Linked DNA regions of Arabidopsis thaliana. Each later gene encodes a partner of the first gene's protein in a complex. Each region holds a gene or a part of one and is shown in the gene's direction. Other genes may lie near its edges. The genes, in order: MED19A, AT5G03500, MED32 and AT5G20170.

Region 1 (8,605 bases):
ACCTAGTAAATTGTATACTCATAGTAAAACTCAGTCAATGATTCGAGGTAAATAAGATTATACAGTAGAGTACCAAATTATTCGTCTGTTCCAGATGAAGTTAACATTAAGTATGTTTGCAATTTACTTTTGTTACAAATGTGGTTTGTTAGTGTAAGTGATTTAGTGTCAAATAGGTTTTCCCATCTCAATGATTCTCTTTTTACAGCTTTTGTTAGACTAATAAAATGCTATTCAAACCAATTTTATTCAATATCGTAAGCATGAAATAGCCTGTAATAATCTTACATCTTTCACATCCAACTCTGTAATAGACTAGCTTTATAGTTCTTTCAATTTAACAATGATGTTCATTCTTGTTTTTTTTTTTTTTCATTTGGCATTAACAATGATGTTCATTTATCATTATCAAGATATTCACACACACCACACGAATTCCACCAGCTTCATATTCAAAAACAAGGGTTCCAAAAGATAATTATGCGTGTTATCGATACACTATTAAATCAAGAAAACCGAGAAGCAGTAGTTACTATTTTCAAAGACTCGTTGTTCAACACTCTTCAATCTCATCCCACCACATAGAACACATAAGTTACAATCACGGCATATAACGTACGATATAGTGTATATCATCAGTGTAAGAAAAAAAGTAAATAAATATGTTTTTTGTGTTTGCACAAATGAGTTTTATTCAGACAAAAATTCACAAAAACTTGTAAAAGCAAAAATTTATCTATTGTGCAATGGATTAGGACCTGTGAAGACCCTTCTCTTGCCATCTTCAAAAACATCTTCACCACCACCTTCATAATTAGTATATTTTGATCCTCTTGATGACGCAGCATTGGAGTCAAGATCATGAAGCTTTGGATCCAAATTTCCAGATTTCTTCAAGCTTCCATGAGTTGAGTGATGATGTATATTAGGAGAAGACGATGAAGCTTTAGCGTAAAGAAACAGAAACAAAAGAAGAAGAAGGATGATCAAGGCAACTGTAGTGATGTGTTTCCTAGATTTTCTTCTAGAGTAGTAATTTCCCATCTCTTAGGAATCTTCAAGATATGAAGAGTTTCTCTATAAGGTATAGATTATATATTTAGAATCGATTTTTGCAAGTATAAAAGATCTGATCAAGATCTCTTAAATAAATTCTCTCTCAAAGTCTGTAAGAATGAGAAGAGAGGAATGAAAGTGATGGAAGAAAAAGCTATGGGGCTTTTAACCTATGACTTCCTCTAAAAGTTTGTTGCTCTCCCTTTCTTATTCTCCACCACTTTCTACAAATAAAGAGAAGAGAAACTAGATAGAGGTTTGTAAATATATATATCATTAATTTTTAACGAAAGTTTTTTTTGTGTGTTGAATCATTTCCAAAGGTCTTAGCTGGGATTACTAGGTCAAGTGGTAGTAATTAGTGTGGTTAATAATATACTTATAGTGGTTAGTTTTAGAGAGTAATGAGGGTGTGATAATAAAGCATATAGAGGAAGGTAATTATGTGAAGGGGGTCAAAAGTAGAAAGAAATAGAAAAGAGAGAAGAAGGGGCCAAAAAGGGAATTGGAGTGATGATTCTAAGACTTAGCTTTCTTTGGGGAAAATGATGTTGTCTTCACTCCCTTTTTCTTCACCCACATTTACACTCACTCACACACATGAAAAAATCCACTTACCACTTGAATCTTCTTCCTCTCCATTTTATATAAATGTTGTATATCTATATTTGCTTCTCGTTTTTTAGTCTTTCTAAGATTACTTTTTTTTTTTTAATTTTACTTTATTATGAGTTAAGAAAGAGAATAAAGAAAACAGTATCACAAGAACTAAATTACATACATGATACATATATGGATATGATTCTCCAATATGCATCTTCTACCTTCGATAAACGTATTTACAACTTGTGCAACAAATGTTTTTAAGAAATCAAGCTGAAAGTTTATAGAAGAAAAAACAAAGACTTACGTCCAATATTTGTCAAGAAACACCATATGTGATATGTACCTCAATATATCCTCATCAGTCATCACGTTTTTATATATTATATTCCCATTTATTTTACAGCAGACAAATCATCATTTACATAGTAGAGAGCAGGTATACAAACTCAAATCCCCAAAAATACCATTATTCCATTTTGTTCTCGTCAAGCACTTTGTCTCTGATGTTATATCAGCAAATATACACGTATGTATTCATCGTATGTTTCATCTTAAATTGTAGAAGATATTGTTAGGCATGTCTCGATCGGATTAGACCTGTCCGACCAACCCAAAACACTGAAAACTTACATTATTTATGTTTTGATAATTTTCGGTCTTATAATGGTTTTTTAGAATAACAATTCATGTTTTTCACTCAAGTAAATAAAAAATATAGAAAGAGATAACAATCTAAATCGGATATAAATAGTCGTGGATATTTTTGTTTGGATAAGAGTACCACCGGTTAAAGAGAGATTCATTACTCGGTTCGAATACGGTTTAGCTAATGGAAGATCCTTGATTTGTCTGGTTAAGTGGGCCGTGTTGAAGGAGCGCGTGAAGCCCACGCGGAGCCCTTGAATAATAATAAAAAAAGGCTGACTGTAATTTGTTGATTATATTGAGAGAGAAGCCAACGGAAGAAAACAGAGAATAATTCCTCTCTCATTGGTCATCAGACACAAAAGACTCTCAAACCCTAACTAGTCTCGCTTTTTCGCTCTCTCGAACCTTCTTCGATCTCTGTCCTTTCTCGATCACTTGCTAAAATCAAAATTTTAGGCGGGAATTCGATACCCAAGCCCAAGACCCAAACACTTCCCCCCTCACGTTTCGCTGCTTTCGTTAGCTAGCTTTCTCAAACGAGATCTGGGCTTGTCGAAAGAAACGTGTATGTTGATTGTTTCGATTCTTTCTCCTACCAATTGAATCTGAGATTTTGGTTTTGCTATTGGGCTCTGTCTTGTTTCGTTTTCGAATTCCAAATTCCTCAATTTCGAATTTCTCTTCTGCTTGAAGCTTTTTTATCGAGTCTAATCTTCGTTTCTAGTGATTACTTCGCTTGTCTGATTTTTTTTTTGTTAGCTTCATTCCTAAATAGAACAAATTGATGAAACTTTCTTGTTGACTAGATCCAAAATGTATGGACTTGGTATCTAATTTTACTTTTACAAACTTCCGAAAACTTTCTAGGGTTTTGTTTCTGATGCTAGTTTCATTTTTTTTGAGCTTGGAGCAGAAAAGTTGAGAATTGATAGCATCTAATGCTAAATTAGATTTTCTTACTTCTTAGTTTTGGTCACTATGAAATATGAGCTGGTGCTTAGTTATAACTTTTGTATTGTTTGTGCTACAGAATTGTTAGTTTAGATAGTATCGAAGCTGAATTTGCTTTCTGTAGTAGTATTATTTCCTTATCACTCTATGCTTTTTCTGATTTTTGTTTCCTTGTGTAGGATATATATGCAGTGAGCCAGTGATCATGCAAAAGAAATTCAGAGTGCGATAGAGAAGATGGAGCCTGAACGTTTAAAATTTGGAGGTACATTGGTTTCGAATTTGGAGCTTCTTCAGTTCGTGAAGTTATTTTTTTTGTAGCTCGTTGTCCTTTGTTTTCCCCTTTGGCTCACCTTGAGGTCAATGTGTTGTTTGTTTCAAGTGCAGGTCCAAGAGAGTTGTGCGGTGCTGCGGATCTTATATCTCAATTCAAACTAGTGCAACACCATGAATTCTTTTGCAAGAAATCTCTTCCTGTTTCTTTATCAGATTCCCATTATCTTCATAATGTGGTTGGGGACACAGAGATCAGAAAAGGAGAAGGAATGCAATTAGATCAGCTTATTGAGAGCATATCACAGAGCCGGGAGACTAATATTCGCATCCAGCCTTTTGATATAGATGAGCTTCAGGAGTCTTTCCAACTAAATGATATGACTCCTGTTGAATTACCCCCAGTAAGAATCTGATCTTTCTCACTCTCTCTTGGTGTTTTGAGTTTTAAATGTCCTTCTTTTCATAAGAGTAACAGTATTTGCCATTACATTGAACTTAAAAACTGGCTCAGTAATGAATGTCCTATTTCCTGTAACATCAAGTTCTTTGGTTAATTGAGAATCTTTCCCTAGTAATGTGAATTACATCTGGGTGTCCTATGGAGATGATTGACCTTGGTACTATTCTTCTTTCAGGCAGAGAAGGGAGCTCCTACAATTCCGTCTAAGTCAAAAAGTGAGTCGAAAGATAGGGACAGGAAACATAAGAAACACAAGGACAGGGATAAAGACAAAGATAGAGAGCATAAGAAGCACAAGCACAAACATAAAGATAGAAGCAAAGATAAAGATAAAGACAAGGACCGAGACAGAAAGAAGGACAAAAATGGCCACCATGATTCGGGTGATCATTCTAAGAAACATCATGATAAGGTAAAGAACATGTCTGTTTGTTGAAGGTGTCTGTCTTTCCAAAGAAGAATAGCTTAATGGAAAGTTTTGTATTTGTTGCTCTTGAGTTAGGCTGCTTTTTTGACCTGCTTGGCATGAAATTAGCAGATCTAGAGACTGCTCTAGAACATTTTATTGAGTTTTTATGGAGCCTTTTCACTTATATTTCAGAAAAGGAAACACGATGGAGATGAAGATCTTAATGACGTTCAGAGGCACAAAAAAAACAAGGTAATGGTAATGAAGTGGGGCCTCAAATTTTTCTCGTTCTTCATTAACACTCAACATGAAATTTCCACCATAATGTTTTTTTTGCACAAAGGTGCTAGAGAACTAGTAATATGTCTTTGATAAATTGTATTGATTCAGCTCTTGATTGAACCTGTTGCAGCATAAAAGCTCAAAGCTTGATGAGGTGGGTGCAATAAGGGTTGCTGGCTAAAAAAGTTGTAGACATTCCAATTTTGTATTCTGCACTCGAGTAGGTGTCATGGAGACTTTAGAAGCACTTTTCAACTCACTGTAGACAGCTTATTAGGTAAGCATCTGTGTACTGTCCTGTCTCTTTTGTACAATTTTTTCGGTGTTCTTGGTATTCCGGGATCCTTCATAGAACATATACATCTGTTATAGTCCAGATACTATACTTTAGGGGAACTGAACCCATAATATTTTTAGGCAGATACTTGAGTTTTGTGTTGTATTCTTTAAGTTACTGAAATCCAAATAACGCAACATTTGCAAGGGAACATTGTATGTGTCTCTGTGCGACTTCTGTATTGGTATTGGATTCTTTTCTGGTCTTAAGAAAGTTGCCGTGATACATAACTAATGAAAATCGGGTAACCTGTCGAAAGAACATATCAAAGATAGGATGTGTTTCTAAATAGAACAGTCTCAGCTAACACAAATCATTGCTTACATTTTTGTTACTTTCTTATATTTTCAAGTTGTGTTGAACAAAATGATTGGCTTTGTAGGTTAAAAGCCCAAACTGGTGAATTCATTCCTTGAAGAAGAAAGGGGAAATTTGTGAAATGAAGAAGAAGAATTTAGTATCATAATTGATTTGGTGTCAGATTTGTAACATTTTTCTTGGGGTGTTCTATTCCATCTCTTTTCTGTCTATATACTCAATACAACACAAATCGTTACTATTCATGTATAATAATTTACTTACCAATTGATGTTGTTGAAAAAGTAACTGTCAAATCCACTTATTTACTTTTACTTGAGTGTCACAATGTCTATCTGTCTGCGACTATGCCTGTAAAAATTGATCAAATATCTGAACTATTTTCTCAAAAATATGTCGGATTATATGATTACATCTGTCGAAATCTCAAACACAAATTGTAACACTAGAAGCCATCCCCGAGAGTTCTCCATCATTTACTCTTTTCCATTCACCATCTATCATAAGGCAGCTTCTACTTTCCTCTTCATCATTCCACATCAGATTCTCTTCTGCTACAGTTTCAGTTTCCTCATATGCATGTTCTATTTCCATCTCAGCTTCTTCCTCGTATGATTCCAATGTCACATCATTTGATTCAGAATCTCCTGCACTCTTCCTTGCTCGCTTGCATGGCGATTTCTCCAATTGATTTCTATTACACTCAGCTCCTCTCTTCGCATTGTTGTTACCTTGTGCTTGTTTTGAGATGCTCTTAGCATTCTGATTGTCAAGAAGAGGTAAACGTCCAGAAGATCCAATGATCCGAGGCAACATACCAATTGGACAAGGGCTCCATGTTTTTGCCTTTCTCCATCTGTTACCGGTTTTGTCTGTGTCAATACCTTTCTTCTTTGAGAGTTGAAGTTTGACGAACTCAAGTCTCTTGCCTGCATTACCGAGATTCTTCTCTTGCTCAAGGAGCGTTGTACTAGCTGTTACAAGAGTAGAACTCTGTTTCAATGGAACAATTGCAGAGCTTTTATGCATAAGAGGAAGTTTTATGAGCTTCTCCTTTAAGACACGGCCTCCCACAATCTCTGCGAGTAGAAATGCTGATTTCAAAACCAGCTCATATCCTAAGGCTCCCAAGACAAGACATCTACGTATAAGTTCCATAAGGAAAATGCTTGGAGGTTTCACTTCTAGAGAACTGTTTCTCTGAAAATGCTTTGATCCATTGAGAAGACTCACAAGCCATGCAAACAAGAAAGGGACCTGCTCAACTTGAGAAACCTCTTCCACTGGCTTTTCTGTAAGATGCAAATTTAGATACAATTCATACATGTTAGAAACGATCTGAAAACAATTTAAAGTTTCAACTGAGGATCCTTAAGAGAAAAAGCATTTAGGATAAACCAATAGTTACCGGTTTCATGTCTTCTCCGTTCATTATTTTGGATCATATCAAGGACTTCCTTGAGTAGAGTCAAAAGTAACTCAGGTTCTCTATTTGAGAGTTCCATTATTACAGGTTTCCATTCATCTAGAAAGACCCTGAAATCTTGCCCAGCCTTATTCTGAAGATCTGTCGACTTTGAAGAATCCAAGGCCTTGAGTAAGAATTCAAGGAGCACAGATGAAATTTCTGCGGAGAAAGAAGGGTATAACTCAACAAGGCTGCTTACAATCTTCCTTATCCTTTTATTAGAACCTGAAAATCACAAAAATAACCTTATATGACCTTACGAATTAACAGATATGCGAAGTTAAACACGAAAATGCAACCCAAAATTATTTCCATCTCTAAAGCTGGAAAAATAATCTAGTGCAGCCAAAACCAATGTATCATGTCATTATAAACTTCATCGAGGTAAACAAGCAAGACACCGATGGGATCATTCCCATTTTTTTGCTTGGTGTTACTACTTACTAGCCCTTCCCCAGCACAAGATCCAAGATACAAAAGAAGTATTACATTTTTCTTTGACCAAAGGGGAGTCAAATTGAGGATTACGCTTCAGCTGCAAGGAGAAAGCAAGTTTCCTGAGTTTGGATTTGACTTCTCTTCTGATGCTAGCTGTTCCATCTCTCTTTAAGGGGATTTGATACTTTTGTTGCTCCCAATAATACGATTTCAACCATTCAAGAGCCTACAACGACCAACGAATGTATGCAAGCAAGTTAAAATCTTCTGTATTGTCCAAGAACACACCACATAAAACATCTTTTTAAAAAGACTCTTTGGATCCTTCAAAAAAGATCTTAAGAGCAAACGTTTTGAATAACAGGGTAGCAGACCTTCATGAACTATGATACTTGAAATAAGGAAATCTAGAATGCCAAACAGAATTAAGAAGGAAAACAGTGTACCTCATCTGCAGCATCCCGAAGCACCGAGAGTGCAGGGAGCTCACGGTGAGAACCCTCTACAAATAGAACAATCAAATCAATCATCAGCATCATCCAGGAATCGAAAAGTCACTGTAAGCAACCAAGGAAAGGTCCCCAAAGATTCTTACCATGACGAAGATCGATTAATTTACGTGGGATACCGATTGCTCTAGCAGCATCCGCAATTGAAACGTCTTCTCTCCTCCTTGTCTTTTCTATGACACAGTTCACAAGCCTACATAAATTAAAATACGAGTCAACAATTGCAGGGACCAAACAAACCAAAACATATCAAGAAATGGGAAGCAAACTCATAGTCACCTGAGTATTCCCATGCAATATAGCATCTGCAGTAAATGCTCTGAATACAATGCATCTGCTGATTGTTTCTCCCTCGGAATAAAGCCATCTTTGAGTTGAATTTCAATAAGGGAACAAGTAACATCCACAGGCGCTGGAAGAGATCCTCTACTTCGCCATGTTGCAACCTGAAAAAATCCGCAAAAGAGATTAAAAATCCCTACTTTACACATATAAAGTAACAACCATTAAGCTCTCTGGTCTGAAGCAGCAAGCTTCATTCAACTAATTTTAAGCTCTCTGGTCTATAAAGCAGTAAACTTGATCCAATTTCTGTAGCAAATTGGAAACACGTGAAGAAAAGCATTACCCTTTCCAATGCAGAAGCGATTCTATCCGGAGAAGAAGAGAAGAGAGACTCTCTCACAGAGTCCCACTCTTCCCAGCTCAGCCACGGGACCTGTTTGCAGCCGTCCGGTGACGATTTCTGTTGATCCTGCTCTCCGAAATACGATTCGATGTCTGCTTCAATTCCCGCTAGCGCCTCCATTGAAGAGTCGGCTCGAAAGCTTTTAGGGTTTTACCAAAC
Region 2 (7,590 bases), 3.1 Mb from region 1:
GATTCAGATCTAACTGGAGAAAGTTCTTTGGCCGTATAGATTCTTCATGGTGATGATGACTTGATGATGATATCGCTGTTTTGATTGCTGAAGTAGCGTTTGCGTTTATTGTTAAACCTCTATGTCTCCTCATATGTCCTCCTAAGGCTTGTCCTGAAGAAAACTCGGCCTTGCAGATTGAACATTCATGTGTTTTCTCCGGTTTCTTGCTACCATCACTACTAGTCACTTGTAGGGAAAGAAAGCTTCCTACGGCTCCAGCTTCCACTGTTTCAACCGTAGACGCAGACGCCGTTTTCTTCTCGACGCATTTGAAAACGCTAGCTCCAAGTTTTGGCTTCTTGTGACTAGCCCTGTGCCCTCCTAGCGCTTGGAACGAATGGAAGCTTTTATCACACGTTTTGCACTGGTAAACACCGTCTAGCCCTAACCCTAGAGAAGCCACCGGTTTCTTGTTGCTAAAGAAACCCATTCTCTGCATCGACAAATGATCGTCGCTGCTCTTTGCTTGATGTCCTTGCGACAACAAGATCAGACAATTCGCCATATCTTCGTCTTCATCGGTAGCTCCTTGGAATTCTACTTCACCAGCAGCTTCTTCTTCTCTTACCTCCACTGATGATCGTTCACCGCTACAAACGCTGGATACTGCAGCAGCGTTCATCATAAGAGGAGACGCAGAACGCTGACGTTTGGTGCGTTTGCCCTTGATGAGGAGAACAAGACGCGCGTGGTCTCCACTCTCCTCAAGAACACTTGTCATGATCCTCCGTTTTTTATTTGCTCTCTGTATTTCAAGAACACAAGAGGTCGTATATGTATATATGGAGAGAAGTATCAAAGAGTGTTTGGTGGGTTTGGTTTATATGTCTAAGTATTTATATATATTTGTATGTGATTGTATTTGTTTATACACACAATAGTATTGTGTGTATATATAATGTAATGGGTAAGAGAAAAGATGAGAAAAGAAGCAAACCCAAAATAACTTTTGGTGAAGGATTCCTTTCTGGAAGTTTTGGTTTGCAAGCCTGGAACCACTTGTTGTTCTCTTCTTGTTTTTATTTTTTTCCTTTCAATTTTTTTTAAATGATTTTCTCTTTTTTTGGTTAACTTTTGTTTTGCTTGTCTTATGAATCACATAAAAAAAAATACTAGTATTTTACTTATTAAATACTCATAAGCATCCTTATAATTTCAAAAGACACACATCATTATAGCTAAAGTAACAAAAATGTGGATTCAATGTCAACACTAATCTTAGAAGATGTTATTTTATTTTCTTTCTGAAAATGAAATTAAATCTGTGTTTTCTGTTCAAGAAGGTGTCATTCTACATATACCATTTTTTCTTATTAATAAAATGAACTACAATTTTGACACTTGGAATGTAATGTATTATATTAAGAAGAATCAAACTGGATTGCGTATTCTAAATATGCCACTCAATTTATTGATTTTTTTTCCTTTGATTTCACATTATCACTAACTAAAATCCTAAAACTTTATAAATAATTTTATATTGATGGCTTGAGTCATCCACAAGTAGTTTCAACACGAAACACAGTACCACAACACACACAATTCAAGCATATTATAAATTCCTGCAAACTTATTACGTTTTGTAACAAATTACATTAAAGATTTGAAACCAACTATTATATATAAAAGCTACTAAAGTACAAATTTAACTTGAAAATACGTCGAATTCTGTTTTTGTTTCTTAATACTACTAATCATTGCGGATATATGTACACTTAAGTTGCTGATTAAATAATTAAGTTAATTAATTGGAAAGTAAAAGGCAATCGAATTTTGGGGTCGAGCAGTTCATGTGCAGTTGAGCCAACCCACAATTACACAACACACAATTATGAATCATGATTCTAGTTATGTATACAATATTTAGTTATAATGATATTAGCTAAAACGAATTAAATATATAATATCACTCCCTATGTTTGCGCCTCTTTCTAAGAAACTTTGATTTTTATTTTGGTTATCCAATTATTTGATCAAACCATTATTAATCTTGTGATTAGCTAATAATATGTATTCGATGAAGTAACCTCCCTTATCGTAGTTTGTAACTGTAGTCTAGGTCTTTGTAGTATAGTATACTAATAAACTCGGTGACAGCAATTTATAAAATTCAAGAAACACATGTTTTTTTAATATTCATTCTACATAATGAGTTTCTTAGAGCTGGATTGATATCCAACTTTTACTCATTCAACTCTATACACATTAGTTGTCTTTGGCTCTCAATGATTATCTTTTGCTAACGTGTTACTATACATACAATAGATCATTAAGAAGAATATTTTTGAGTGTATTGTGAAGCTAGTATCATCACAATTTTAAAATGAATAAATCAGGAGGAATTGATTTAAGTCTTGGCGTCGAGGATTGTGTGTGTGAAAGAGAGATAGAGAATTGCTTGGCCGCCAAAAGAAGCCATTACTTGCCAACTAGCTAGCTTCACTACTCAACCTAAGCAAAGCATATACTTTATAAATAAATAAATAAAATCATAAACATAATTAGTCGTCACCCATCATACATTCATCATCACCATCCTAACAAAACCTTTTTTACAAGGCTTCTCAAAAACCGTTAAGTAGTTGTTGCAACTTGCAAGGATCACCTAAACAAATTATACCGAAACTTGCACAATTGAATTCCAATATTTTAAAAACATTTTTCTTTTGTCATTTGAAGCATATAAAATGGTTCTGAATTCTGATATAGGTGGGTGGAACAGAGTCTTCCCCCATATAGCAAATCCCTCAACGGCTCTAGAAATACGTTTTAAGCTTCACGAGGAATAAGAAGATTAGGAATATATGGGCTTAAAGCAGGCCTGAACTAAATTAAAGGCCCAACTAAAAGAGAGGAAACAAATCTCGATTTGCTTTCTCTGGTGAGCGTGTCTTCTTCCGATCGTCTTCTCCGGCTGCGTGAATTCTCCGCCGAGCCATCTCTCTGGCGAATCTCCAGTGAGTTCTATTATTTTCACTCTGTCTTTTATGCTTCCCGTGAAAGGGATTTTTTTATTTCTCTCCCTCAGATTCTCCTTGTCGCCACCAACTCATTCGTCTCCCTACCCATTTGTGGCCACTGGATTTTTTGTATTGACCTTTCTTTTTTCCTCATGAATCAATTGAAATCTACTGTTAAGCATTTGACGATTTTGGACAAATTGGTGGTGATTTAGGAATAACACGGTTGTGGTGGTGGCGGCTACTTCAACGTGACGATGACAGATTAGTTTCTAGTGATGACAGATTAGTTTCTAGTGGTCGCAGAGTTATTTGGTAGTGATGACATAGTTGTATTCTAATGAGAACAGATTGTTTTATGGCGGTAGACGGATTTGTTTTTGATTAGAAACCCTAATTTTAGGAATCTGTTACTGATTTTGCTTAGTTTTTGATTTGGATATGTAGAGAATAATGGCTACAGCTACATATCCACCTCCTCCTCCATATTACAGACTCTACAAGGATTTCTCAGAAAACACTGATTCTGCTCCTGAACCTCCTCCTCCGATTGAAGGCACCTACGTCTGTTTTGGAGGCAACTATACTGTGAGTCTCCTCCACATTTCCCCCTCTTTAAAATCTTCATCTTTATGTGTTTTTAGCAATTTTCAATTTTTTTGGTTAGTAGACTGAAGATGTTCTTCCAAGCTTAGAAGAACAAGGAGTGCCTCAACTTTATCCAAAAGATTCTAATCTTGGTATGTCATTCTCCTAACTCTGTGAAATCAAACTCAAAATGCAATTGCTATTGGCTGTCTAGAGTATGGTTTTTGGTTCTTCCCTTCATTGGAATCAAACTTATTACATGAGTTCATTTGCAAGTTATGTTCTTTGAAAGTACCTCTTTGAGTTCAAATATCTTTGTGTGTAGATTACAAGAAGGAACTCAGGTCACTGAATAGAGAACTACAGTTACATATATTGGAGCTTGCTGATGTTCTTGTTGACAGACCTTCTCAATATGCGAAGAGAATTGGTGAAATTTCTTCAATCTTCAAGAACTTGCATCACCTTCTCAATTCCTTGAGGCCTCACCAAGTAAAGAAGCTCTCATCTTTCGATTAATTACAACATGGTTTCAACACTTTTTGTTTTTTCATCGTTTTGATCTTTCTCTTGTTGTATAGGCGAGAGCAACGCTTATTCACATTATGGAACTTCAAATTCAACAGAGGAAACAAGCTGTGGAAGACATTAAGAGGTTTGTATATGCTACTTAAGTTTTCTGTCTTTATGGTGTGTTAATAATTTAATATCAATCTATCATCTGTTTAAAGATTCTTCAGAAGCTTTGTTGGTTGTTCTTATGGGTCCGTTTGATGTTTTGGTTGTGTGCAGGAGGAGAGAAGAAGCACAAGGACTTCTTAAGGATGCTTTCGTCACTTTAGATGGTCAATAAAGTATACTTTTTGTTAATCCCATTTTGTGTAAATTAGCGCTAATAACCTATGCCCTCGAAACTTTTTTTAATTGATCCTGTGTGTGTGAGAGAGAGAGACAGACGTGTGCAATCTCATGATTCAACAAGTAAAGCCTATATCATCTTTATTCAATGTTACCCGTGAACCGGCATTTAGTTCCGCCGGTTAGTGCGGTTCAACATTTATTATTACAATTTCGGCTTAACGGGAACTATTATAACCATAACGGATTCATAAGAAGATTAGACCAATATGGGCTTAACGCAGGGCTAAACTAAATTGAAGACCCGACAGTTTGTTCGTAACTACACGTAAGTATCTGAACAACAACAACAGCTTTATAAGGGAATCAACAAAAAATAGTTGAACAAAAAAAAATTAACCTTGTTCAAAGCTAAATCCTGTCAAATATCTTTGGAACCCTAGCAGTCGGTCTTGTCAATTTATCATCAGCATGGACGAATCCGCCATCAAAGTAATCTTCTTCTCCTTATGGACTCTCCTCTTACTCACTCTATTTCTCTTCACAAGAGGATGGAGATGAAGATTAAGATGGATATGGACAGGAGAAAGAGGATGGAGATGGAGAATTAGGAGGGAGATGGAGAATTAGGAGGAGACGAACCTCTTTGTTTTTTTATAATGTATTTACCTTTGTTTGTTTTTGTCTTTGCATGTTAAAAGTAAGTAAGCTCAGTAATCATCACCTGCCTTGATCATGTATGATATGTCATTCTCTGGATGTTAGAAAAAAACAGTAGTAAGCTTAATCTATTAACGTTATCTGCTTTCGGTATTACAATGCAACCTTGTTTTCTAATTTTTAACAAAAATGGATCCAAAGCTATCTTTGAAGGTGATTTTAAACAAGTCATTCAGTTGGTCAACGGGAAGAGTCTTAATTTTGGATTCGGGAAGCAAAAGCCTGGCGACATCGGTTTGAAGATATCCAGTTTGTTTGGACTCCAAGATCAAACAATAGTCATTTTATTATCATTTTTATGCTCCACAATTTATTATTGATGCGCTACATTACCAAGTACTACAAGCTTCAACTTATAAAAAAAGAAGAAGATTAGAACCATATGGGCTTAAACGTAGGCCAGAACTAAATTCAAGGCCCAACAGTTTGTTCGTAACTCATACACACGAAATGTCCCAAACCAGAATAAAATTAGGGAATTAACGAAACAAAAAAGACAAAGAAACCTAGTTCAGAACTAAATCCCTAGATCATAGCAGTCGTTCTTGTCAATTTATAACTGATATAGGAATAAGAAAGAGGGTTAAATGGACACGTGGAGGGTGGAGATTAGAAGTTGGTTTAATGGCTGAGATTGTTTGGATGCTAACAGAAGAGAAAAGAAGCGTTAAAAGGAAGCGAAGAGGAAAAATAATCATTCATGAGATTTGTGTTGAATTGTTATCTTCTTCTTCTTCATTTGTCCTCTGTTTCTCTGAGAGTTCTATTTGAATTCTCATAGCTATTTCTTCATTGTGATAGAGCTGTTTCTACTTCTAAGCTTTATCACATGAGATTTGGATTCTCGTTTTATGAACGACGATTCAATGTGTGTTTGTGATTGGATTAATTGAGAAATTGTGGTTTCTCTGTATCAATAACCATGGACGAATCCGCCATCAAAGTAATCTTCTTCCCCTTATGGATTTTCTTCTTACTCACTCTTTGCTTAACCTCTGTTTCTCTATTAATGTTGTTTTCTTTCTCCACAAGTAAGAAGAAAAATATATCAAGTACGCGTAGTAGAATCTCTGATTAGATCTTTTGTTGTACCTTAGGGTATGAAATTGCTGCAATTGAACGAGATTGGTGCAAACTCTCGAAAGCCCCGGTAAATATATTATCTTGGGAATTTTATTTTGGTGGTACGTGCTGAATGATCATATAATAATATTAACTCTCCACCTGCAATCAAAATTGTTGCTAGTATCCCTTGGACGAAGATTTCCGTGGAGGGATATGACACTAGGCTCCGTGAGTATACAGTCAAGCTCGTGTTGGAAAAACATTTCGCTTCATGCGGAAAGATCACACATATTTATGTTCCCAGAGACTTTGAAAGGGGTATCCTCAAGAGGTACCGTACTTTGTGGCTTCGATTTTCCCCAAAAAAATATATAAACTTTGTATCCTTGGTTTTACAGTGTCGCCTTCATGTGTATCAAAGGAGAAGGTGGCGAAGAAAAGGCATTGCTGCTTAGTGGAACTGACGCGGGAGGATGGACTGCAATCGTTAAGCCTGCACTCTGGCAGAAAGAAATCATGGATCCTTGGCTTCCTGGCATGCCCAAACTTGAAACACACAGGTAAATTCTGATAATACTACCTGATCCTTGCAATCAAATTTTTATTAGTTTAGATTCTTGTGTATCTGTAAGACACTTGGCTTGTCATTTTAATTATATTCCTCATCTCCTGCAATCAAATTATTATTTAGGGTCCGCGTTACGGGATATGACACTTGTGTTCCTAAGATTGATATCCAGATGGCCTTGTGTGAACATTTCTCTTCATGTGGAGAGGTCACGCAAGTTGTGGTTCTGCCTAGGTTTGTCGCTTCTTTCTTCCTCCAATTTGTCCCAGCTCTCAAGTTGTTGACTCTAACTAATTAAAGACTCTTTGTTTCTGTTGAATTCGGCAGCGGTTCAGGTTCCATTTATCTTCAAGGAGAAAGATGTGAGGACAAGGCGCTTCAACTAAATGGATGTAAAATGGGAGGAATGAATCTTGTAGTTGAATCTGTTTTGATAGAACCCGAAGACCTAAAAAAAGAAAAGGGCGCGCCATCATCACGCCTACTGGCCATACTGGCTATACGCCCTTAAGTACGTACAAATATTTGATTTCTTATTCTTGGTAACAAACTCAAACCTGGATCTCATCATCCGTTTCCTTGTTTATATTTTGATATTTAGGTTGTTTATGCAAGGCGTATGAGCTTAAGAAGAAGAAGATGGAGATGGAGATGGAGATGGAGATGGGTGAGAAGAAGAAGAAGAAGAAGATTGAGCTGATGAAGGTAGATAAAGTGCTTAAGAAGCATATGGCGAATAAGAAGAAGATGGATATGAGCACGAAAAAAGAGGATGGAGATGGAGAGTTT
Region 3 (6,974 bases), on another chromosome or scaffold:
TAATTGAGACAGCTAATTAACAGATTGGTTTGCTATAATATCTGTTGTTGTTGCAGGTATACCCCGTATCTTTACGGGTGAAGAAAATGCGGATATTGGTGCACTTGAATCAGAATTGTCCCATGAGAGTGGACATTTTTTCGCAGAGTATATCAAAACTTCGAGGATCAACATAAACATCAGGCAAGTTTTCTGAATTGCCTGAATTCTCCTGCTTTCGAGCAAAAAAATTTGTATTACTAGTCGCATCGAGCCAGAAGATTTGAGAAGCAGCAACTACTTCTTTCGCACTTTCTTGGTTTCTTATGTTCTTATTGTCATAGAATCTCTTTATCATGTAAGATATGACCGGAACTCGAGTACAATAGCAGATCAATTTCTGCTGAAATTTTGAGGTTTTAGGCCATTTTTAAAAAGAATTGTATAATTACAAAAAGGAAATATCATTTTTCAGATAGCATACATATTTTACATTGTGGTTAAGGAAATCAAAGGGAACCAAGTAAGGTGACTACACAAACTAACGCCTAGCTGGCTTGCCAGGCAAGGTAGGTATACTCTGTTCGTCTCTGAAGAAATTTTGCGGATCCACAGCAGTTTTCACTTTCACCAACCGATCAAAATTTTCACCGAAATACATCCTCCCGAAAACCTCTGCTACTCTGTAACTGTTTGGGCCAGGGGTATTAACTCCAATATCCAGATCCCTGTAATTGATATAAGTGTGTCTAGGGTTCTTGGTCACAAAAGGAGCCATGTAGCTATAAAAGCTTTTCGCCTTCTGCAAGAAACTGGTTTCCGCTTCGGTTCCCGGATCTTTCCAGTTCATCGAATGCTGGATTTTGTAAAGCTTCTTCCTATGTGGGAATGGTGTCTTCGTTGTAGCCACCGTACTCATTATCCCTCCGTAAGGATTAAACACTAACCCTATCTTCCCAACTTCAATCATTTTCTTGAACAAGAAATCTAAACCATCTTTAGTGATCTCTTTCTCAACGAAATCAGATTTCCTTTTCCCGAAAGTCGCCATATCAGGGTTTCGGTCCAGTAGAATCTCCGGTTTAATCTGCGTAGCGTTATCGTTGTTTGCCCACCACATCACCGACTGTATCCAAGTCATCTCCGTGCAGTTCTCCTTCTTCAAACCAAGCTCCGGGAATTCTTTGGTTAGCATAGACATAACAGTGTTTTGGTCCCCCAAGAAGAGAGCCACAACCGATGCTCGAACCGTTTGCATTTTATTCCTAGTCACCGGCTGCAACAATAGCCTCATGAATAGACCTGGATCGGTCTTGGGTGCAACAAATTGCCATTTATGAACCATTTCAGTAGCATTTTCGACTAAGTTTTTCTCTACTCTGAAAACGGTTACGGTCGGTGGAACAGGGACGAGTTTGATCTTGAAAGCTAGGATAACACCGAAGCTAGCACCGCCTCCACCGTTAATGGCCCAAAACATGTCTTCTCCCATTCCTTTCCGATCAAGAACCTGTCCATTAACATCAACGATTTTGGCGTCGGTGACGTAATCAACGGAGAGTCCGTATTTTCGGATCATGTTTCCGTAGCCACCACCGCTAATGTGACCTCCGGCTCCAACCGTGGGACAAACTCCGGCGGGGAATCCATGACTTTTGGTTTTTTCCCAAATCCTGTAGTAAACTTCACCGAGTGTTGCACCGGCACCGACCCATGCAGACTCTGTGGCGGGGTCGACGGTGATGTTACGGAGATTTGACATGTCGAGGACGAAGAAAGGAACGTGAGAGATGTAGGAAACACCTTCGTAGTCATGACCACCGCTTCGAGTTTTCAGTTGGATGTTTAGCGATTTCGTGCAGATGACGGCAGCTTGGACGTGACTCTCGGAACGCGCCGCGATTACGATCGCGGGTTTCGGAGTCGCTGTGGTGTTGAAACGCGCGTTACGGATGTAAGCGCGTAAGACGGGGGTGAAAGCGGCAGCGGTTTTTGGTAAAACGACGTCGGCTAATGAGTTAGGAGGAGCTTTTGTTTGGTTTGTGAAACATTGGAGAAAGTTTTGGTAGATTGTTTCAGGCGGAGGTTCGACGGCAAGAGAAGTAGAGATGAAGGAGGAGATTAAGAAGAGAATTAAACAAAAGATCTTCATTTTTTTTTTTTTGATTGGATTCTATTTGGTGTTTTCTGTAGTATAAATAGTTACATGTAGTCTTTAAATTTCTGTTGTGATTCTTATCGTTGGCCATTTTTAGGATTTGTTGTATTGGTCAAGGTTTCTCCTGTTTTTTTTTTTTTTAATGGTTTAATTGCTCAAGATTTTAATATAGTCAAGTTAACTATAGAAAGATCACAAGTTTCAGAAGTCAAGTTAACTTTAGAGATTTTAATATAGTCAAGTTAACTATAGAAAGAACACAATTTGTTTGAAGGCATTGTGAGAAAGATAAATTTTTAGAGGTATTGGATTAGGTTGTTTTGGGAAGAGAATAACATGTCTTTCAACCTTTATCTTCCTTTTTTTTGAGGGATCAGTTATTTTTGTTTTCATATTAGAACTTGAGATATTAATGTTCTATAAAACGGTGAATAAAAGACCAAAAATGTTTTATACTACAAAACAAAATTATTTTTGATTCAATCTAGAGAATGAAAAAAAAGAGTTACGACCATGACAAGTTATTTGTTATTCAAAATAAATTTTGTTGAAAATAATTTAATGTTCAGAATATTTGTTCTAAAATACATTTAGAATAACAAATCTTGAAGCGATTTTACACTTCGTTCTAATGACATTAACAAACTGAAAAGATATACAAATATAACGTTTAGCAATCTTTTTACAAAAACATAAGGTTATACTTTTCAGCTAATAAGAGTAGAAGTTATTGTAATGATTTGAGAACAACATGTATTTTCGTGATGCTACTAAATTAATATGTTTTGAGAGTTTATGAATTTTGAGAGTAGTGTTGTTATATGGGATCTGAAGCATCCAACATAGCGAAACATCATTCGTTCCATTTTTTTCGGTGGCATTCTTTCGAATTTGCGTCGAGTGTCACTTTTCTATCTACATAAACCAAAATTCTAGGCACTGAATGTCAAAAAAAAAAAAAAAAAAATCTAGGCACTATAATAAATGCAAGGAGGATGTATAGCTGATATATGATCTTACAAACAAAAACACTTCGAACAAAGGCGAGAACAAGTAATTAAGCAATGTCAAGAGCTTGTGGCGCAAACGTAATGTTTTTTTAATAATGGCATGTTATTTTTTGTTCTTGACGAATTCCTTAAATTGACATGAGGATAACATGCACATAAACAAATTGTCCTTCTTTGAATCATTCTGAAACTTCTCCCTTACACTTTTCTTTGAATGTAAAGAGTGATTCTTACATGAAAACAAAGAGTAATAATAATACTTTACAACTATATCAAATCAAAGATTTGAATAAGCATTTTATAAATATTGGATAAACATAGGAGAGTTTTATCCAACATCCCTAATTCCAATCATACATCTTCCGCATACGGTGTATCAAAGTACTGTGATAGATCCCATCTTCTTGAGCAACATAATTATACGAGCCACCATGAGGCATTCTCTTGTCTTGAACATATGCGTCAAACTTCTTTTGTACCTTGTAATCAGCTCCTTTATACATTGTACACCAGAAAAGTGTTTCTCCCATAACGTCATCGTGGAAACTAAAACCCCAATCTTCTCCAGGTTTCATATATCTTTCACGAACATCATTGTCCCCAGATTTACAACGTACCTTGAGCCATTTGTTGTGAGAAAGACTGTTCCTGAATAACAACGACGTCTTTTTTCCTTTAAATGGATTCGAATGGCCATATGCATTGCTAATCATGCATAGGGCAAAGACAACTAGAAAGATTGAAGTATTTTTCATTTTTTCTTTCTAGATGCTTAGAGGTTTTGTCATCGGAGTAATTTTTTATTTACGGTATTGTATATATAGACATATATGTATGCTATTTTTGAATTTACGTTCTTATTATATATTGCTCTCTTATTATTAGTATTTTCTATTAATGATTTGCGGTATCAAATCGTTTCAAACACAACAATAGATATGGATGGTTGAGTGGAGAACAATATATGGATTTAGATCTTTGAGTAAATATTTCCAAAGAACATTTGTTTTCAACACGGACAGTAATTTGACGTGATACATTTACCAAATACTACCTATTATATTCTGCCAATTCGTTACAAACAGATAAATAATTCGATTAGTATATACATATCTATCGTTTAATTGTGATAACTTTATTATTATATTAACACTAAAGTTGATTAAAATCGTCTTGATTTCGATTAGATGTTTTATTTTATAACATTAAACACACATATTTAAAAGATGAGAAATTAAATTGTATGTATATGGAATTTTAACATTAAAAAAAAAATCCAAATGACCAATCCGGTTTATGTCGGTCCGGTTTGTATTAACCAATCTTAATTTCAATTTTTACCATATAAACCTAACCAGACTATTACAATGAAGAAGAAGAAGAAAGAAAGTGACACAAATCGGACTCTCCGTTCATCGCCGGTAAGTTTCTCCTCTTTATCTCCGGCGGTTTTGGGCTGATTTTTTTAGATTCTGTCTAAAACTGCTCTAATGATTCAATTCCTTCACGAGTTTACGGATTCTATGCCGTGAATTTGAACCCTAGGTTTGCGAAAGCAATCGCGAGTTTTGCAATTTCGTTAAATTTCTGTCTCAAAGATGTAATCTTTTTGATCATTTAGCTTCCATTGCTACCGTAGCATCTTATTCTTTCCCTGAGGTTTTGAGTTCTCTCATTCTATGTGTAGCGTTAACGAGAACGAATTAAGATTTTTTGAGGTTTTTAGGGTTTCTTATTTCCAGATACTTTTGCTGGGATCTTACTTGATTCCTTTTGCAGTTTTTTCTTGTTTAACTTGAAATCTCATGATTGATACTTGGTTTGAGCAGTTATTTGAAGGGGAGGGATCAAATGGATAACATTGTGGACTCATTGAACAAAGCTTATGAGAAGTTTGTTCTTGCTTCAGCTGGTGTTCTTGAGTCTAAAGAGAGTGCAGGTGGACAAAAAGCTTTGCTCACTGATACTGCGTTGGAGAATTTCAAGGAGAAATGGGAACTGTTCCGTGTGGCTTGTGATCAAGCAGAGGAGTTTGTGGAGTCAGTTAAGCAGAGAATTGGATCTGAGTGTTTAGTTGATGAGGCTACTGGTTTAACTACTACTGCAGCAGGTGGCCAAGCACCAGCAGCGGTGACTGGTGCTGCGACTAGTCTCCCTCCCATTAGTGCAGTAAGGCTTGAACAGATGAGTAGAGCGGTTCGATGGCTTGTTCTTGAGCTGCAACGTGGCTCTGGTGTAGCTCCTGGTTCTGTTCATTCATCCTCTACCGGGTTTGATTCTAGATTCTCTGAAGACTCGACTCAATAGCGTGCCTAGTTAGTGTTAAGTTCGACAACCGCAGCTCCATAACTCTCGAGTCAGTCGTTGTGATGGGAAGAGTGGCCTAATCAGTGTTATGTTCTGTTATTTCATGGGATTGAGCCAAGCTAGAAGCAACACTGGGGGTATCATTTAGGACTTATGACTCTTACTAAATATTGGGCTTTTTATTCTGAATCTCAAGTAAAGAAGCTGTTCTTTTTTTGTGTGATTCTTCATATGTTATTATGTTTCTGTTGTTTCAAAAAGAATACTAATTTTGATCTTGTACATGATGTGTTTTTGGTTTTGTATTAACCATGATTATCAAGAGTTTAAAAATGTAAACGAACTAGTATAATTTTGAGTTTTGATTACCTCACGTTCACAGCAAAATCGTGATAAACGTAACAAAAACATGAACACTCACAACAAAACCGTGACAAGAAAAGTTAGAAACACACTTAAGACTTAAGTTATAGGGTTTGAACCCGAGACGTCTCACACTCCTCTCAGATAACAGAGTTAGTTTCGCAAACTAGAGTGATTTTTTGCTAAGGTTTAAGCAAACGAATCGCCAAAACCAGGATACAGAGGCTAATAAGATCATCTTCAAAAGTGTCTCACTTTTTCTAACCTCGCCTCCAAAGATTCTTCCTTTTCCGATTCCGATGAAAAGGAATTTTGGGTTTTAGGAAAGTTCGATTGGTTGGTTTGGAAACATCTCCCTAACACACGCAGCAAACACCTTCGTTGTTTACGGAGACAGTCACTTTTTGTGTACGTCTCTCTTCTCTTTGTTAATTCTGATTTCTGACAACCCTTTTGTTCAAATTTCTTCTGATTCTGTTGTGTGTTTTCTGATTTTTCAGATATATGGATTCGAATCAATCGATGCGGCTCCTCAGTGCTTGGATTGGTCAAGTGAGATTTTTTTTTGTATTCCTTGATCATTGACAGGCTTTAGCTCATTAATGCTTCAACAAGGCCTATGGAATTAAGTGTTTAAGAACAATTTGGTGTTGCCAATTTGAGTCTTCAAGCCATAACTTTGTTTCTGTTGAATTTTTGTATTCCACAGATTGGTGATCTTGGTCTTAATTTGCTATGGCGTTTTATACACATTGTTGTGAGCTTATGGTACATTGTCTCTGGCATATTTGAGGCAATAGAAAGCTATGCCATAACGTTAGGATTGAATAAAAAGTACGGTTCCATCGATCTTGAGAAACTCCGGTGTCTAGCTGTTGTAGTGGACATCGAAGCAGCTCAAGATGTTGCCAATGTTGTTGAGCTTTTGCAATGGCTAACCACCATTGGGGTTAAACAAGTTGGTCTATTTGACTCTCAAGGTACATGCTTTAGCTACTTATCTCGTTTTTTCACGTTCATTAAATGATTGCTGATGTTGGCTTCTTTAGGTTTATTGAAGAAATCCAAGGATTTGATCCTTGAAACCGTTCCAGGTTCCATGTTGTTAGAGGTATATTAATCTCATACCTTTCATTTAGTTTGCTGCTTTACTTGTG
Region 4 (9,236 bases), 2.9 Mb from region 1:
TGAAGCTGTTAACGATTTGACTGAGGGAAAACTACAACAAAAAGTAATAAAGAAGGCTTGTTATGTCCAAAAGTAGTACTGTCCAGAAGCGGGGCCCATGGGATATGCCTATCAGAGTGGGCTTCCTGTGACCTCTCACACCACCACGTAGGACCTACGAGCCGAGTGCTCAACGGTGGAGAAAGAGAAGGGTCGTTGTCGTTGAGAAGTCTCCGTCTCTCCAGTTTCATTGTATTTGATTCGCATTTAGTGGGTGTGCTTTGTGCAGCCTCATTTTGGAATAGTGAAATTTGACTATAAACATGCGCAAATGAGCCACAACATATTTCAAACTACTTGGTACGCGGTCAATACAAATTCAACCACAATTTGCTCATTTCCTTGGCATGTAATCGATGTGGATATCACTAACCAGAGTTTTCTAAAAGAAAAACATATTGATCCCTAACATATGCTCCAGTGGAAAATGTAAAAACAAATACTCGAGTGTCATAATATATCTCTTTGTTCAGGTCATGCGAGGCACAATCAAACAGGTCTCGAAGGAGCATACGACTGACCAAAGTAAAAGTGGAGAGATATACAATAATGTTTCATAGGAATTGGAAGAAAACTGCGATTACAAATCTGAAGAATAAAAAGGGAAATGCTGACATCCTAATTTCCTTGTTTGAAGAGAATGGATGCAAGACCAGACCTCCATCCGAAATACGCTGTTGGCATAGGCCTTTTGTGTAAAAGTGATGCCAGTCCGGCTGATACCCCCTGACCAGGCAGCCTCACCAACTCCTGACTAGCAATCGGCTCAGCAAACCTGTTTTACAATCCCAAATAACTTTTTAAGTAAGTTACTCTCAACTCTGCGAAGGAAAACAAGTGCACATGCTTCATGCTTCTGTGTGATGTTCCACTATAATGTATTTTAGTAACTGTTCAACAGACTCTAAATAGATCCTCACTTTTCATTCAATGATTCTATAGGACAAAATTTGGGTAGTAAGTGATTCACAGTAGTCAATATACACTGTATTTAACCCGTCCAAAATCCGAATGAGACACCTAATTACTCAAAAGCGAAAACCAGATACAAGATTCACTTACAAAGGGGAAGGTGTAATTCCTTCATAAGCAAAGGAACTGAACCCTTGTCTTTGCTTGTGCTTAGGATTGGAAGAGCATATAACATACACACGTCCACGACGTTTCACTGTTTTACAAAACTCACACATCTTCTTCACAGATGATCTCACCTTCATTGCTTCTCACTCTGCAATTCACAACCGATCATTAACACAAAACTCATTAGATGAAAATGAAAGAGAACTCTTCAAAGTATTCAACTTTAAGATTCAAAACTAAGGATTGTATCCTCTAAACATATCATTTCTACTTAATCTACCAGAAAAACTGCAATCCTTAGTTGATCCGATGATGGAAGCAAAAGTAAAACGAATCTGAAGCATCCATCTCTAACTACACGGAATCACACAAGAGAAAACCCTATAATAGATCCAGATACGAAATCGAGTGATAATCAACGAGAACCCATCAAGCGAAGAACAAAAAAATACCTGCGAATTCAAAGGCGACTACGAAGAAGAGCAATCGATTCCCAAATGCAAATGAAAGGGTTTTACGGAGGAGTTTTGCACAGTCAGAGTACAACATATTTTGGGCTTTTAATGGGCTTTACCCGTAAAAATGATCCGGAATTTTTTTGACCCGGATTATTAGATCTAAATATCCGATTTGGAGCGTTGAAGCGATTTGGCCGGACTGTGTTACCGTCGACCTAGAAAATCTGAATTTTTGACCGGGAAGATTTTTTTCTGTACGATATGGATAGCGACATGGAAATCTCTCTCGACAGGCTTCCCATTAAACGATTGGAATCTATCGAAGAAAATGGCGCCGAGCGTTTTCCTTCGTAAGTGTTGTCTGGTGTTTGAGAAACGAGACAAAATCTTCCCAGATTGTTTTGCTTCTAAATTATTCCTTTTGTTTTTGACGTGTAGTGATGTTGATTACGATGATAAGAGAGTATCGCTGATTCGGAGAATAGACTTCGCGTGGGCGTTGGAAGAGGAAGATGAGCTGAAGAAGAAGAAGCAGAAGAAAAGCTCCAAGGATAGCGTGGAGCAATGGAAATGGAAGGGAATGGTTGAGAATTTGCAATTGGCTCATCAGGAGCTCACTGTCATCATTGACCTTATCGACACAGTGAGTGACTCTTGTTGATAATAGATAAGAATTTTGGGATATTCATAGCTCTTACAGTGTCTGTTTTATTGGTTTGAATGGAAGGAGCTGAAGTTTGGTTTCTGATATTTGAATAGAGAGTAAAACTTAAACAATTTATCTTCTGATTTTATCTTTGAAGGTCCAAGCAAATGATGCAGTAACAGTTGCTGGGATGACCAGACCTAAGCCGATGCCGAATGAGATTCTCTCGGATCTTGCTGTGTCTACTGCTACCAAGCTGCAGGGCTACCGGGTAATCAGTAGCTTACTTTCTTATGTGCAATTTAACTTTGCTTAAAGATGGAAGGATTCTTGTAATTGTTATTAGTTAGGCACTTTTTAGTATCCTGAGAAACTGTTGGAAACATTAACTTGGTTTCGTAAAGAGCTTTTTAACTATATAATTGTCTTTGGATGGTATGCTTATCTCACTTCTGAATATCTGTTTCCTCTGCAGAATTTAGGAAACTACTTTAAACAATCAGCAAAAGCTTTAGAGCAGAAAATCAATCGTGAAGCAAGGTTTTATGGTGCTCTTATCAGGTTCGAGTACTTGCTTTTCATTTAATGTCAGTGGCTATTTTCCTTAGTACTATTTTGCAACTTTTAAGAATTTGTTGTTTGCATTCTTGATACTAGTTTTAGGTAGCTTACAATGTCATAGCTATTTGTGTTGTGCACAGATAATTAGCGTCCGAATTTTGGATGTAGAGTTATTACGCACGTAGGTTTTGTAATATGTTATGACTTATGACTGATAAACGTGAAAGCATTTTATTATTCTTGTCTAATGTGAAAAAGTTCTAAATTTTGACTTCTACACCGTCTCTGTTACTGAACCTGCATAGTACAGTACTTCAGGAACATCCATTTTGTTGTGTAGTGACTGCTTAAGATTATGCCAACACAAATTAGAGAATTTCCGTTGAAATTGCTCATAATTTGTATAAAATGATAAGCTGACTTCAGCTTCCAAAATAGAGATTGATTTATACGTGCAAATGGTTATTTTTGCTATACTAACAAGCTTATAGGTTGCAGCGGAACTGGAAAGTCAAGCGACAACGCATGCTTGCTTCAAATGCCAGCAATGAGGGCTTCACCATTGATCTTTCTGACAGTTCATTATATGATCCGACTTCTGGTTTTCGCCCATCTACACTGTCCACTATTCGTGTAGATCATGATTCAGCTGGTATGCTGGCCATTAATGTACCCCAAGATTCATGGTACTCTCTTCGGTTTGGGTATGTTGGCTTAAATCCGATTGGCAACTCAAACGAATCTGATGAGCACATAGACTCGACTACTGGTCACGATATCCCTGGAACATCAGAGAAGTTGTCTGCAAGTGACGACAAATATGTTAAAGAAACTCATTCGCTACTGAGGGAGGTGCATAAATCAATTTTTGCTGAGCAGGTGGTATTTTTGTCATATATCTTGTAGTACGCTTGGTATATCTCTTCACGACTATTTCTCACTTCTTTGGTCTTCTTACCAGTTGTTTGACATGCTAAATCGTGAAGCATTCAATGAAGGTGTGGGATTCAACATAAGTGGACTACGAGAAAATTTTATGGAAATGAGCATCGGCCAAGGAGCTTCTCTGTTTGTGTCTCTCCACCCATCAGGCAAAAATCCCAGCATCAAGAAGTCGGAATCTGCAACCTTGCTCATTGAATCATCTGGCAGAGTAGAACCAGCAGAAGGAGGAGACTATCGCTTGAAGAAGCTAGGGTTCCCTAATCGCACCAGCTATGAAATATACTTGCAACAAATTTTTCACGAGCATGCCTTTGGAAAAGCTAAAGATCAGCTCAAGTCAAAAAGTATCAGAGCATCCAATCAAACAGAAAAGGACAGCAACTCCGGACTTCTTGACCATTTCTGCTTATCTTTGACTCATAGAATCTTCTCAAATAGAGTTCTTGTGCATCTTGAAAGCGTGGTATTTTCCCTGATGTGCTAAACTTTATTGAATGATCCTTCTCTATCAAGAAACTTGTTGTCATCTTTGATCATGCTTTAAAAAAAATGGTTACTTCCTCATTGAACAGGTCTGCAAGGTCCCGTATCTTCATCTGATATCTCATCCTACATGGAATTCTCGGACATCGTCATGGACTGTCTTCATGACTGTTCCTCCATCAATCATCCCCCAAGGAAGGTCTGAAACCCAGTCTCCTGATGGTAAGAGGAATCTTAAGACGCAGTTCCGGACAAAAGTGGTGGTGAAGGATGATTGTATTAGTGTTGAAGCGGAATGCACGCCCAATGTGGTTGGCTTACTCAAAAGCAGTTCCTGCAATCTATTCTCTATAAACAAATACGAGTGCGACGTGGCCGACCTTCCCGTGATGATTCTCCAACAGGTATGTTCTTTCGTTTCCTAAAGTTGATCATGTCTATAGCAACACGGTCCCTTAAACACGCGGTTTATTTATTTGAGAAGGTGGCGAGCCAGATAGTGTGTTGGCTACTGGAGGAAGCACGGACGGTAGGGACAAAAGCGAGCAGGGAATTTCTGTCACTATCGTTAGAGATAGTGGAAGGGGAGAGAGTGAGCCTGGTGGCGCATGTAAACCCGGAAGACGCAAAAGGATGCATCTCGTGGTGGCTAGTGATGGAGAATGGATGCACAGAGGAGAGGGAAGGAGTGTCGGAGAGTAGGAAGTTGTTGGGTCATTTGTCTCTGGATGTCTTGTACTCTGTTCTCATGGATTTGATCAACTTGTGTGGTACTGGTCGCAATGCTTTAGAGAGATTGTAAATGCTGAAAGACAAGTAGTGAACATGTTTAGTTCTTCAAGATTTGTAGATTACAATGGTTTAGTGAGACTCTAGTGTCTAGCCCAAACATCACTTTTTTGAATAGTTGGAAATGTGGATTTTATGGATTAAGGATTGATGATTATTATAAAACATCTTTATTTCAAATAATATTATCAATTTTTCTTTTTTAAAAAATCTTTGAAATCATAATGACTTTAGTACTTAAAGGAAGAAAGGGGTAGAATTGGAAATATGTAGAGAAAACGAGAATAACTCTGACGCGAACGTTTCTCTCCTCCGTCTCTCGATCCCTCTCTTGACGTCTCGCTGATCTGTTTTGCTAAGATTCAAGCTTCAAAACCCTAATTTCTCTAGCCATTAGCATCGATTTCAGCTCAACTTCAGGTTTGCTGTTCCCTTTTTTTGTATCATCCCATCCACCGATCGATATTTCTCAATTTTCTGATTTGCTGCTCTCTCGAGAGAGAGTCACCGTTATGGAGTTGGATTCACTATATGATCTGATAATTATGAAATTCACAGATGCTTCTATATATAGTAAATCTGATTTATTAGTGACGAATAGATGAACATATTCCCTTGATTATTCTTCTACAAATCTCGGTAGTGATAAATTGTTAGGTTTTGACGATAATTGTACTTGCTCAGTTTTTCATGTGTTTAGTTATGATTCTTCTTGGGCATGTCTGTGTCTTCGAATCGATTCTCATGTGATTCCCATTATTGTTTTTTTTCTTCTGGTTATTTCAGATTCAAGGAAACAATTATTAGCTTCTCAAGTGCTTCAGTGATCCGATACAATGGTAGTTATTGCCTTCTCTGTTCCATTGTTAAATTTTGTTAATTTCAGTGATTTTGAGCTAAGAGTTTTGTTTATCTTTGATAAATTCAGTCAGCTTTGTTCAATTTCCATTCGTTTCTGACGGTGGTGCTGCTTGTGATCTGCACATGCACATATCTGAAGATGCAGTTCCCTGCCATTTTAGAGCAGAAAACTGGGTTTGTACCTTCTTTGTTCTCCTTTTTCGTGAATTTTATTCTCAAAACCGATAACACTAACACATTTGGAGCTTTGACACCGGTTATTGTTTTCAAGCATTGTCTTTTGCCAAATTAAAGATGCTTTGTCAGATTTCTCTGCATATTGTTACTTTAGATTGCAAATGTTACTTCATCCTAGTGCTTTTTTTGTATTTATAGCTTGCATCTAATGCCCTCAGTCATCACTTTGTTCTATGCATATTAATGATAGAAATTGCTTGATTAATTACTATTGCAGGTTTCGAGGATTTTTCTGGAAGGCTGCTAGAATAGGTAGGCCTTTTCACCCCTTTGGAGCTCAGTTATCTCTTGTGATTTCAAAACCTTTCTAAAAACATTGTGTTGAACAATATTTCTTTGCATGTGTTCTATAGAAAGTAGTGATAGGCTTTCTAGGAGCAAGAACTCGTTACTAATCAATGCAGCTACTAACAATTGTACTATAAATTCAACTCATGAATACCAGATTCTAATGCTTTAAAACCCATGGTCGATCTCCTATTTAAGCATATGCATGATGGCATATAGTTAAGTCTATATCCTCCTACTTTTACTGCCATTTGTTTTCCATCGCCGAACATTCTGTTGCTTAACTTTGCTTTGTCATCACTTGTACCAGGTGAGCGTTTGAGCCCTTGGGTCTCCGCTGGATGCTTCATGATGGGTGTGTCGATCATTTTCTTTTGAGTGTCAACTTCTTACATATCCAGTTCTTGTAGATTTTTACTTCTTTGGGATGCTCATTTTTCTGTATGCAAAAGATTCCAAGGGGTTGTTGATGAAACTGAAAGAGTAGAATATTATCCTCTTTGGATTATGGATATGGTCTTGTATTTGGAACAAATTGTGTCTGTTATTTTAATGTGGAGACAAGTCCATAAAGCTCAACCATAGAAATTAGTAGAGCATAAGACACCAGAACCAGCTAATAAAACGCATCTTTGTCGTAAAGGAAGAGAGTAATCACATACGTAACTTCAAGTTTACTAATTTCATTGAACTAATGAGAGCATCAGTTAATAAAAGTTTGTTGTGTGTGTGGTAGCTGTAAAATTATCAGTCAATTTGGATAATCGATCAGTTTTATGCGAGCAAAAAGAACAAAGGTGAAGTCATGGTTACCCTTTTGGGCTTTAATCAAAATTTCGCCGACAAAAGAAGAAACTAAAAAACCAAACTCCCAAAGTCAAAACTAGTTCTGTCGGTTAAGGTTAGTTCACATGGGCCGAAGTATATCATCACCCAGGCCCATTAAAAAGATGTATAAAATCGACAAGCATATAAGTAACAGCGTAAGCCTAAGTTATCATTCAGAATATTCAAGCTGAGAAAGTCGTAGCCTCTAAAACCCTAATCCTCTCTGAAACCCTAGACATCGCAGCTGAAAATGGTACTTCTCTCTTCCTCTTTCTTCTTTTCGGTATTATCTTGCAGTGTTTTCGAAGGAATCTTACTCTTTGATTGTCTGATTTGGGTTTTAATTTGTTTTTGTTTTCGTTTCTTCTTGCAGACCGGAGAAGTCGTCAACCCTAAAGCGTATCCGCTTGCAGATTCTCAGTTATCGATAACAATTCTTGACCTCGTTCAACAAGCTACTAACTACAAGCAGCTCAAGAAGGGTGCTAATGAAGGTATCCGCTTGTTACTCATGTGTGTTTGTCTCTCTTATTTATTGAGTTTAATGTTTGTGAAGTTGTTCCTGATTTATTTAAATTTGTTCATTTCAGCTACGAAGACTCTTAATCGTGGAATCTCCGAGTTTGTTGTCATGGCTGCAGATGCTGAGCCTCTAGAGATTCTTCTTCATCTTCCCCTACTTGCTGAGGATAAGGTTTGACTTCTTCTTTCTCTGGGTTTCTCTTTTATTATACACCAGTTTATTTAGCAAATGAGATATTTGTTTCCTTAGTTCATAGAAGAGAATTAAGTTTACTTGCTGAGGATATAGTTTGATTAGTTTGTGCCAATGTTCAGCCAAGTTTTGTATATCATTTTGTTAACTAAACTCTGATTTCATACTTGTTGGAGTTTAAAATGACAGCTTTATGATTGTCTTTTATGATTTTGTTTAGCTTGTATGTTTTTGATTCTGTAATGCTTTGTTGTTCTTATATACTAGTTTTCTATATTCTTACTTTCTTTGTGAATGTTTTGTAGAATGTTCCTTATGTCTTTGTGCCTTCAAAGCAAGCCTTGGGAAGAGCCTGTGGTGTGACTAGACCTGTTATCGCTTGTTCAGTCACATCTAACGAAGCTAGTCAATTGAAATCACAGATTCAACATCTCAAGGTAACTTAGCCCTCACTTGTGTACTCTCTTTATAACCTTGAACCATCATTGATTCCACAGAATTGGTTAATCATTAACTCTTTTTTTACATTTCTTCAGGATGCTATTGAGAAGCTTCTGATCTAAGGCATTCTCTGAATTGATTGCTCGGTATGATGGGTCTCCGCGAATGGGAAGGCTTTGACTGAAGTTTTGTTTAGGCAACTACCAAATCAAAAACCGTCCATTATTCTACTATCTTCTCTTCAAGTTTGTAACGTAATTCACTTTTCTGCAACTTGGTTTCTTAAGAATTTGTGTTGGTTTCTGGTTTTGGTTTGTAGCGAATCATTGTGTTATTTATAAGAACTTGTTTTGATATCTATCACAAAACGAACAAAAAAATTGAAATAAAAATTGAAGGACTTGAATTGAGATTGAATACGAAATCAATTGGTCTGTTGCATTATGCAAAGTCTTACCTTGAATTGAGATCGAGTCACTAGTATCATTTGCAGTCATCATTTCTTCTTGAAGAGGATTATGAACTTGTATATGTAGTAGTAGAGAACTTGAAATATCTAGCATATGACTTTGGAAAAGAAGAAATCAATAATTAATCTGAAGTGGTATATATTACATCAACTACAACACACCCAACACAGAAACAAAGTTACATTGCAGTTTTGTGTAACCTAAGGACTTATGACCGACCAAAGATGATATCCAGAAACATGATCCTATAGTTTCTTCTGCCTTTTTGTGTACATTGATGATAATGTCTTGTTTAATCTGTTAGCTTCTTCTATTGTATAAAAAAGTGGAATAGAGCGAGTGTGCCTCTGTCTCACTCTCTATTTGGCTTCTTGCTCCAACAATGGAATCTTCTT

What was found.
Region 2: MED19A (region 1) and AT5G03500 share a complex: the UniProt entries of both Arabidopsis thaliana proteins name them as parts of the mediator complex.
Region 3: MED19A (region 1) and MED32 share a complex: the UniProt entries of both Arabidopsis thaliana proteins name them as parts of the mediator complex.
Region 4: MED19A (region 1) and AT5G20170 share a complex: the UniProt entries of both Arabidopsis thaliana proteins name them as parts of the mediator complex.

What each region holds. Positions count from the first base shown.
Region 1 is NC_003076.8:3,950,179-3,958,783, reverse strand, and holds MED19A (mediator of RNA polymerase II transcription subunit 19a-like protein), read left to right. Parts: upstream 1-2,598; 5' UTR 2,599-2,875; intron 2,876-3,440; 5' UTR 3,441-3,498; coding exon 3,499-3,526; intron 3,527-3,648; coding exon 3,649-3,938; intron 3,939-4,172; coding exon 4,173-4,409; intron 4,410-4,598; coding exon 4,599-4,658; intron 4,659-4,818; coding exon 4,819-4,869; 3' UTR 4,870-4,965; intron 4,966-5,407; 3' UTR 5,408-5,644; downstream 5,645-8,605. Other genes in the region: AT5G12236 (uncharacterized protein), read right to left, coding at 502-636; CLE22 (CLAVATA3/ESR-RELATED 22), read right to left, coding at 733-1,044; AT5G12220 (las1-like family protein), read right to left, coding at 5,770-6,635, 6,752-7,036, 7,301-7,475, 7,696-7,751, 7,845-7,951, 8,038-8,204, 8,387-8,566. UniProt on the Arabidopsis thaliana protein: Component of the Mediator complex, a coactivator involved in the regulated transcription of nearly all RNA polymerase II-dependent genes.
Region 2 is NC_003076.8:873,526-881,115, reverse strand, and holds AT5G03500 (Mediator complex, subunit Med7), read left to right. Parts: upstream 1-2,740; 5' UTR 2,741-3,342; coding exon 3,343-3,366; exon of another isoform or gene 3,367-3,449; coding exon 3,450-3,590; intron 3,591-3,672; coding exon 3,673-3,742; intron 3,743-3,915; coding exon 3,916-4,082; intron 4,083-4,171; coding exon 4,172-4,245; intron 4,246-4,382; coding exon 4,383-4,443; 3' UTR 4,444-4,676; downstream 4,677-7,590. Other genes in the region: AT5G03510 (C2H2-type zinc finger family protein), read right to left, coding at 1-763; AT5G03495 (RNA-binding (RRM/RBD/RNP motifs) family protein), read left to right, coding at 6,091-6,111, 6,266-6,318, 6,415-6,564, 6,632-6,793, 6,925-7,035, 7,129-7,312. UniProt on the Arabidopsis thaliana protein: Component of the Mediator complex, a coactivator involved in the regulated transcription of nearly all RNA polymerase II-dependent genes.
Region 3 is NC_003070.9:3,970,836-3,977,809, reverse strand, and holds MED32 (mediator of RNA polymerase II transcription subunit-like protein), read left to right. Parts: upstream 1-4,515; 5' UTR 4,516-4,568; intron 4,569-4,976; 5' UTR 4,977-4,998; coding exon 4,999-5,454; 3' UTR 5,455-5,824; downstream 5,825-6,974. Other genes in the region: AT1G11780 (oxidoreductase, 2OG-Fe(II) oxygenase family protein), read left to right, coding at 57-196; AT1G11770 (FAD-binding Berberine family protein), read right to left, coding at 521-2,131; AT1G11765 (Plant self-incompatibility protein S1 family), read right to left, coding at 3,489-3,902; LEW1 (Undecaprenyl pyrophosphate synthetase family protein), read left to right, coding at 6,322-6,369, 6,527-6,797, 6,867-6,928. UniProt on the Arabidopsis thaliana protein: Component of the Mediator complex, a coactivator involved in the regulated transcription of nearly all RNA polymerase II-dependent genes.
Region 4 is NC_003076.8:6,803,332-6,812,567, reverse strand, and holds AT5G20170 (RNA polymerase II transcription mediator), read left to right. Parts: upstream 1-1,648; 5' UTR 1,649-1,838; coding exon 1,839-1,927; intron 1,928-2,015; coding exon 2,016-2,220; intron 2,221-2,380; coding exon 2,381-2,494; intron 2,495-2,698; coding exon 2,699-2,784; intron 2,785-3,275; coding exon 3,276-3,663; intron 3,664-3,745; coding exon 3,746-4,192; intron 4,193-4,301; coding exon 4,302-4,616; intron 4,617-4,696; coding exon 4,697-5,014; 3' UTR 5,015-5,193; downstream 5,194-9,236. Other genes in the region: AT5G20180 (Ribosomal protein L36), read right to left, coding at 658-814, 1,102-1,256; AT5G20165 (kish-A-like protein), read left to right, coding at 5,838-5,840, 5,930-6,036, 6,134-6,202, 6,317-6,351, 6,545-6,606; AT5G20160 (Ribosomal protein L7Ae/L30e/S12e/Gadd45 family protein), read left to right, coding at 7,466-7,468, 7,589-7,909, 8,236-8,367, 8,467-8,493; SPX1 (SPX domain-containing protein 1), read right to left, coding at 9,201-9,236. UniProt on the Arabidopsis thaliana protein: Component of the Mediator complex, a coactivator involved in the regulated transcription of nearly all RNA polymerase II-dependent genes.